Oreochromis niloticus: one gene and its partner. The protein of the gene in region 1 purifies or fractionates together with the protein of each later gene. This does not show direct contact. Links are inferred from orthologs where the notes say so. Each region holds a gene or a part of one and is shown in the gene's direction. Other genes may lie near its edges.

Region 1 (3,920 bases):
TTTGTTACTACAAAATAATATAGAAAATGCCATACTGGTGTCCACTAGGGGGTTGCTTAGCTCTGTTTAGGGTTAATGAGGTTGAACTGGTGGAGTTACTCAACTTTCACAGAAAGCCTGTGTTGACACTTGTATTTTCTGCTCTTTATAAATAGTGTGTTCTCACTTCTAAACTGAGCTTATTAGCTGTTAGCATGCTGAAACTGAAACTTCTCTGCAAATTTTACTTATCATTTAATCTTCTGATTAAATTTCGGTCCACCCAGCTGTAGCTATCGCCTGCAGTTACATATGCGCTTGCAAAATTTAGCAAAAGGTACCCCAGACACTGGACATGCAGAGTAATAAGCTAGCTAATAAAGACTGGCAAAAAAGAAGACTGCTAATGCTGAAGGCAGACAATTCATGAAGAAGTGGCAGACTACATAAATTACTTCTTTACCCTTGTGCATTTCCTACAAGATTATTTGTAATCATCATTGCCATTTTGAATCCACACACCCACAACAACACCTAAGCCATGAAGCATTAACAGAGGTTTTCTAAATGAAGCACCGTACTATAAGTATTCTTTTAGTGAAGCTGTAAAGCTCACTTTCTCACAACAGAAAAACTACACTGTGCATTTACAATTCTTAAATCCTTACATGCAGCCAATTTTCATGTCAGAACTCTGAATAGTGTATGTAAGTAACACCATCGAAGGTCTTTTTCTTCATATTTATGAAATTTCCCATAAAACCACTGACTTATCATTTGAAAACATGATAAGATAAACTTAAAGTGTAAGTGTGTGAAAACACAATTGCATAAAGTACATGAGGCAATGTGATAAATTCAATATATATAAGCTTGGCCCTTTATGTGATTGTCATTTACCAGTTTGCCCCTCTGTGAACTGAATTGTGGCACTTCTGATTTAGCTCAAAGCACTTCTATGGCTTCAAAGAGCCACTAGCATGGATGTACGCTGGTCTTATATGCTTGTCTTTTCTTTGCGCCGCTCATATGACCACAATGTTTCCTGTGCTGTCTACTAATGTTGTTCATTGGCTATGGCTTGTTGTCTTCTCGCACTGCTGACCAAAAACCTTTTCATCATACAAGCTATAACACTTCTTTAACACAGTTGCTATGGAACAGTTTTGACTGTGGCTGTTTTGTTTTGTTTTTTCATTTTGACCTGCCTCTGACTGAGTGAACATCATTTGTTAAGCACAGAGGGAAACTGCAGGGAATTTGCCAGGGATAGGCAAATCAATGAGATCAAAACACGGAGATAACAGAAGTTGTGACACCCACAGTCACACAAAACACACATACTACTAAGAGAGGAAGTAGTCAGTTGTAGACAGATGCTTATGTCACCGAAAGAACGGGAGTATACACCCCCCCCCTCAGACATACATGCTCAATGCTCAGCCACACTCTTTGTCATTCACTATCAACAGTCACTATCTCAGTGCCTTTCTCTCTGTGACAGAAACAGAAACTCGCACAGAGGCACTGAACAAACACTGAACAAACACTCTCCTTTATCCACCAACCAGTTGTTGACCAACTCTCCGCCTGGGAAAGTTGTCCACAAGATGGTGAGTAAAACTTAAGAAACTTTAATGATTAATCGTCACATTTTAAATGATTGAAATACTGTAAGTGGGCACTGTGGATTTAACAGAAGAAACTTGCTCTTGAAACTGCTGAACTGTTGTTATGTGCGTTTTAGACGGCTTATCGTGACAGGATAACATAGGCTTTGGTATCTTTTAGAAGTCAGCCATACTTGATTATTATTACAAGCTGGTACATTTTCATTTTCTGAGCGAGTTAATGTGTGCACACTGACAAAAGCAGAGTTGTCATATTTGTATTCTGAGCAGTCAACATAAGCTGCACTATGTTCATTTCGGTGATTGTTAAAGTTAAGTAAAGTAAAATGCCGAATTCAAACCAGGTGTTAAAAATACTTGTTAAAAATAGTTTGATATTTTAAGCATTTTTGTCCCAATTTTCTTTTCACGCACTGTGTAAAAAACAGGAAAGTTAAACCTAACAGTTGGGGCTGGTGGTTCTGGGTTTTGTGTCAGCTTGATTAAGCAAGGCACCTTTGCTCTGCACTTTTCATCACACTGTAAATAGAAATCGTGGTTCCTCTTCCTCTGTCATTTCTCAGCCGGTCACTTTTCACAAGGCTTCTGTTAAAGAACAAACATTAAAAAAGAAAACATGTTCGGACGAACTAGCTTAACATCCAAGACTCTGTGGTTATTATGTTATTTGTGCACTGATCCTGCATCATAACAAAGGATTATTTTACATATAATTATTTTCATAACTATAATTACATTAAATAGCTCTGCATTAAACTTATGGTTCAAACCTTTGAACCATCTCAGGCAAGTATATAGCTGCCACACAAACTATGGCAGCTTTGTGTTCCCGTTGAGCCGTACTGCATTAAATGGCTATCCTGTCAAGAGGTGTTTCTGGTATGTGACAAAATTTGCAGGACTTTTACAAAATTGCAACTGCAGTGCACTCGTATCTTGAGAAGAAGCAACTGCAATAATCCTGTACATAACATATTGAGCAATTTATAGCTTACCGCGGTTAAGAAACAGAAGTATTATGAGGGAACTTTCCTCTTTTTCTTTCTACCGATTTAATATTCAACCGCATTTCAGGCTCAGCGTTAACATATTTAACGGTTGATGTTACTGGCACCACTGCATTGAAGTTCCACCCACTGTCTCTCTCAGTTTACCGAGAGATTGGCTGTTAAAGAGCATATGCTGATATTTCTCTCTTCAACACTGAAGCTATGTTGTCGACAAGGGATAGCCGTGTGCATTCACTGATAACACTGAATGCACATGGTGACATTTTCCCACTGCAGAATAAAATGTATCAAATAAAACACCATCCACTTCCCCACTGCTGATTCAGGTCTTTAGACAGTGTAGCTTTTAAAGACTTGAAATTCCCTACATGGTCTGGTCTATGTTCACTGGTGGCAACTAAAGTCATCATCTTAAAGTACTGACAGTAGTACTTCCTGTCCCTCCCTTATTTCCCACAGGATCCCCAGAGTGTTTGGATGCTCATATTTGATTTGGGACAGTTTTGCTTCCTAACACATCCCTTCCAATTACTCTTGCTTGGGAACGGCACTAGGAGTACACCATCTCGTGAGCCCCTCAGACTGGGCTTGTTTTTCCTCCTGGTCTCGAGACAGGAACTTTTTGCCTATAAGATGTTAACTGCTAGCATTTCTGTAGTAGCCAAAATTTTTATGTTTGCTTACAACTTCTGTGCAGTACTGGGGCATTTTGGCATCTGTAAAATATACTGGAAATACAAAATAATCCAAGCAATAAGCACGTCTTCTTTAGAATACTAAAACAAATGCGAAGTTGGTAAAAAAGAAAAGCGTCTAAGTCTTAAAACTCAATATAACGTATATGTAGTATCGTGAAAAACTAAGCAGACTAAGCCATCTGCAAATGCACTTGGTTTACTGATCATCAGCAAGTTTGAGCACCTCAGTAAAAACAGAGGTTTTAGCTGGAGGATTCAGCTATGTGTTAACACGATGACAAACATATCCCAGGATGTACCAGCAAATTAACCACAATGAGAGGCTGAGCAATGCGAGCTCTACATCTCAGATGCTACAGCATGACGTGTCTGGAAAGGCTGAAAGAGAAAGCTTCTTCTCTCTAAAAAGAGCAGAGCAGCACAGCTTAGGTTACAAAGTTGGATCTGAAAAAAATCACAAGACTCCTGGAACAGCGCCTTTTGGACTGATGAGACCAAAGAGCAAATGTTTGGTAATAATAATACGCTGTACCATGTTCGGGGAAAACTAAACAGCATGTTAATACAAGCGGCTCACACTAACTGTCAAGCTTATTGATGGA
Region 2 (3,920 bases), on another chromosome or scaffold:
AGGAGGAGGAAGCAGACGAGGGGCTTTCCTGAGCTAAACTTAGTGTGAAGAAGTGAAACATGAGCGCATCCATCACTCCATCCCTATCTCCAGTTTGTATGGAGACACATTAGTGCCAAAGCATCCATGAGCCCAATGATCTCAGTTTATCGTTTCATTTAAAACTGGCGTTTTAAAACAGATCATCAGTGTCATTGCACCGGCTCGCCCTCTGAAGTATGAGCTCTGTGTTTGCTCTTTCATATAAAATCAAATGTTGGTCCTGTGATAAATAAGCTCTTGAAGAACAACCACAGGTCTAACAACGTGGGACAGGTCCGTGTGTCCCCTCTCCCGCGCTGCAGGTTAGCATCGTGCTGCTCAAACATGAGGGCAACACAGAGCTGCAGGCTTTGACCTGAGCGCTGAGAACGAGCCGGACGCTCCCTGTCCATGATTGGCTGGGATGGACCACCTCCATCATGGTGGAGCTGTAACCTGCACGTGTGGACGGCACGCCGAGCAGGTTTCTGGGAGTGTTCCTGAGGCTCATCTGCTGAAGCTCACGGTCATCGGCCTCGTCCCACAGAGATTCCTCCAGGTTCTCTGAGTATGCAGATGAGGTCACGCTGCGTAGATGATGAGCTGTTCACGGTGAGGAACATGATTCAGGTTGGTGAAGCTCTGCCTCTCTGAGAGCCTCTTTTTATCCCCGATCATGTGACCGAGCTGCTGACAGGTCACATGATCAGCTGGTAAATCTTCTCTTCAGCACGAGCTTTTCTGAGACGGCTCGTTCTCTCACTTTAATCTTTTGTTTTCTGTGTTCGATCACGAATAAAATATGAGCTCTTGTTTTCGTCCCGACTTTTTCAGGTTTGTTCTGAGAGCTGCAGTTCCTCTGACGTGCAGCAGAGGCAGCAGTGAGCCCGTCCCCATAGACCCCCATGTTAAACAGCAGAAGTAAACATTTCACAGCCCGACACACAAACTGTTTGGGTAAACAATACTTTTACTTTGAATACTTGGAGTACATTTTTCAGAGCGTGCAGAGGTGGCTTGACTGCACAGATGCATGCTGGGTAACGGCCTTGGCCTTCAGCACTGATGGAGGTCCTCCGTCGGGCTGACCTGGGGTCGGGGCGGTGCCAGCTGATCCGGGGTTCGTTTGTTCCTCTGTTTGGCATTTCGACAGCGTCGCTGCAGCGAGTGGGTGCAGCTGCAGACGCTGTTCCGCTCTGTGGTCAGACGGGGGGTGGGGGTGATGCTGCCTTCATCCATCCCCCACTTCACTTCCTCTGAGTAAGAGAGAGAGAGGAAAGAGAGACGCAGAGAGAGAGAGACTGAAGGAGTGGAGGAGGAGGAAGCCATTTTGGGCCCGAGTGACATGTCTGCCTGCTCTTTGCTGCCTGCGCTGCCGGACGGACGCTCGTGCAGTTAGACCGGACGACTCGGTTTGGGGAAGTAAAAGCTGAGACGCTCGCAGCTCTTTGCTTTTCTGTCTTTCAGAGACGTCTGAGTCTTCACAGGAAGCGGCGGCGAGGCCCATTAGTCAGACGGTGGGCTGAAGGAGAACAACGGCGCAGAAACTACGAGCCCGATCACTTCCTCCGAGGCCGAGGAGCGAGCTCAAAGATCGCCTCCTTCTCTCAGATGTTAGCGTGCTCTGGGTCTGACAGCAGCCGGGCTGACGTCGTGCCTTTGAGCATCGAGCAGGATGAGTTCGGACCGCATGCCGTCCAGGTCGGACGTGATGGGGTGGAGCCCGCAGCAGCTGGCGGACTACCTGAGAAGGGTGAGGCCTCCATCCGTACTGTTCGTGCGTCCTCGTGTATGTCTTCGTTTTAAGTTCCTCGGGATCCTCCGAGCGGCGGGGTCAGCTGACTCATGCTCAGACGGCGCCGTGACCCAAACCAGAACGTTAGTGAGCACAAACAGCAGAGGCTCAGGTGAGCTGCTGCACCTGCCCGACACGGAGCTCGATGACACGTGGCGACCGCAGCTTCAGTGTTTGATGCCCTGTGTTTGGAACGTTGGCGTAGCGTGCTGATCAACAACATTTCAGTAAAGCTCTGGCTTAGACCTCGCTGTTAGTGCTGTGACCTCAGTGATGATGTCATTCAAAATGCAGAGGTGCAGTTCAGACGCTCAGTCAAACAATGGTAATAATGCAAACTTTCATGCGATTCAAACAGGTGAGGCTATTTATTTCTGAAGCGTCAGACGTGCAGCTGGCTTCATGTGTCAGCCCGATGCTTCAGGTGCTTTGTGCACCTGTAATTAAAGGCTGGACTGAGTAACTGTGGTTGTCTCTGCCACCGCTCAGCGTGATTGCATACAGCTTTCCTGCTGATCGCAGAGATGGTGACATTTTTCTGCAGAAGTTCAAACACTGTGACGTAACGACTCAGAGAAACAGCGGCTTTAACGAGGAAGTGTTTGTGATGCGTTTGGATAAAAGTCCCCGAGAACAGGGACAAAGGCAGCCGGGTGTCAGCAGCAGCAGCGTTAGCCGTTAGCTGCTCGCGTCTGAAGGCGGCTGCATGAAGAGGAGTGAGATGTGACAAACTGCTGGGTTTCCCCTTCCTGTGCATCTCTTATAATCTAAACAGTTTGTCTTACTTCAACTGACTTTAACATCTGATCACGACTGATTATTTTTAGGTCACTTAGCAGCAGTTTGATGGTACAAAGTATCGGAGCAGGCAGGTGGAGCAGATGAAAGCTGTACGTTGGCGCAGAGCCGCAGGAAGTGTCGTTATTTTCCATTTGGGGTTTGATGAGGTTATTTAAGGCCTACGGTGTTTCAGCATGCGTGCTCTCAGCGGAGGCAAAAATAGCAACAGGTGGGAGATAATAACTGTAACTTGTTACAGACGCGGCCAAACATTCAAATCATGGGGTGAACCGTAGAAGAAATCCCTGTGGGCTTATTTTCACTCTGAATGTCTCCTCACTGATCTCTGCACAACAAGCCTGCGGGACGTTCGCTCAGCGGAGACGCTTCAGTCCCGTGCAGACCGTCCACCTCCTCCCAGCATCCTCCTCTGTCACACTCTGTGCATGTCCTCCTTCACTACATCCATGAACCTCCTCTGAGCTCCACCTTTATCCTCCATCTTCCAAACCACCTCAGCCACTCTGATGCACTCGTCTCTTATCTCCATCTTCCACCTACTCCACCCTGCCTGCACTCTGTGCTTCATCAGCATAAAAGACTGGTTCTATCAGCGCGACACAACGTTTCCGAGCGATTCTTTTATAGCGTCTGATGTCAGAGGCTTTTAATGATTGGTGGATGCAGCCCACAGACTCCTTTACCACTCAGGCTGCATCATGTTCATTTATCAAATCTGTTCAAACGTGGGCTCGTTCTGCACCAAGAAGAAGAATCGCCTTGACAACACGACACGTGGAAAAGAGGCTGATGCCTGTTTGTGTCGAACCAGCTCTGTGAGCTCATCTCACTGATGCTGACGAGCTGCTCGTGCTTGGCTATTTTTTGAGAATCAGCAGGAAAGCTGAGGAAATCTGTGTGGGACAAAATGACGCTAACGCTTTAGTCCCGTCCATAACCAGTTACAGCTGAAAGTCTGGAGTGAGGCGGTGTGGCCAGCAACTGTGACATCAGAAACTGATTCTTATCTTTGCTTTGCGTCACTGCGTGTGTTAGTTTAGATGTTTCACATTCACAGAATCGTCTGCGGAGAACATCACGTCCATATGTGAGGAAGAATCAGTATTTCCTGGAAGACAAAAAAGAATCGCATAAGAAACAGTGATAATAAAATAATAATAATAAATAGATGTGTTCATATTTGAATGATATGTCAGCTGTGACGTCCCTGTTACAGATGAGTCTGTCCGGCTGTGACAAAGTCGTGCTGAAGCACTCCATCTCTGGTTCCAGATTTGTGGTGAGTTCAACAACAAGAAAATAA

Evidence for each region.
Region 2: the proteins of fyb1b (region 1) and lcp2a purify together in Homo sapiens (co-immunoprecipitation; 6 studies listed by BioGRID and IntAct, with this or other methods). This does not show direct contact. The link is inferred for Oreochromis niloticus from reciprocal best matches to the Homo sapiens genes FYB1 and LCP2.

The regions. Positions count from the first base shown.
Region 1 is NC_031972.2:23,608,155-23,612,074, forward strand, and holds the start of fyb1b (FYN-binding protein 1), read left to right. Parts: upstream 1-1,340; 5' UTR 1,341-1,355; coding exon 1,356-1,592; intron 1,593-3,920. UniProt on the Homo sapiens protein: Acts as an adapter protein of the FYN and LCP2 signaling cascades in T-cells. May play a role in linking T-cell signaling to remodeling of the actin cytoskeleton. Modulates the expression of IL2. Involved in platelet activation.
Region 2 is NC_031975.2:32,937,910-32,941,829, forward strand, and holds the start of lcp2a (lymphocyte cytosolic protein 2a), read left to right. Parts: upstream 1-1,016; 5' UTR 1,017-1,696; coding exon 1,697-1,774; intron 1,775-3,833; coding exon 3,834-3,896; intron 3,897-3,920. UniProt on the Homo sapiens protein: Adapter protein primarily involved in signaling pathways within T-cells, as well as other immune cells such as platelets, mast cells, and natural killer (NK) cells.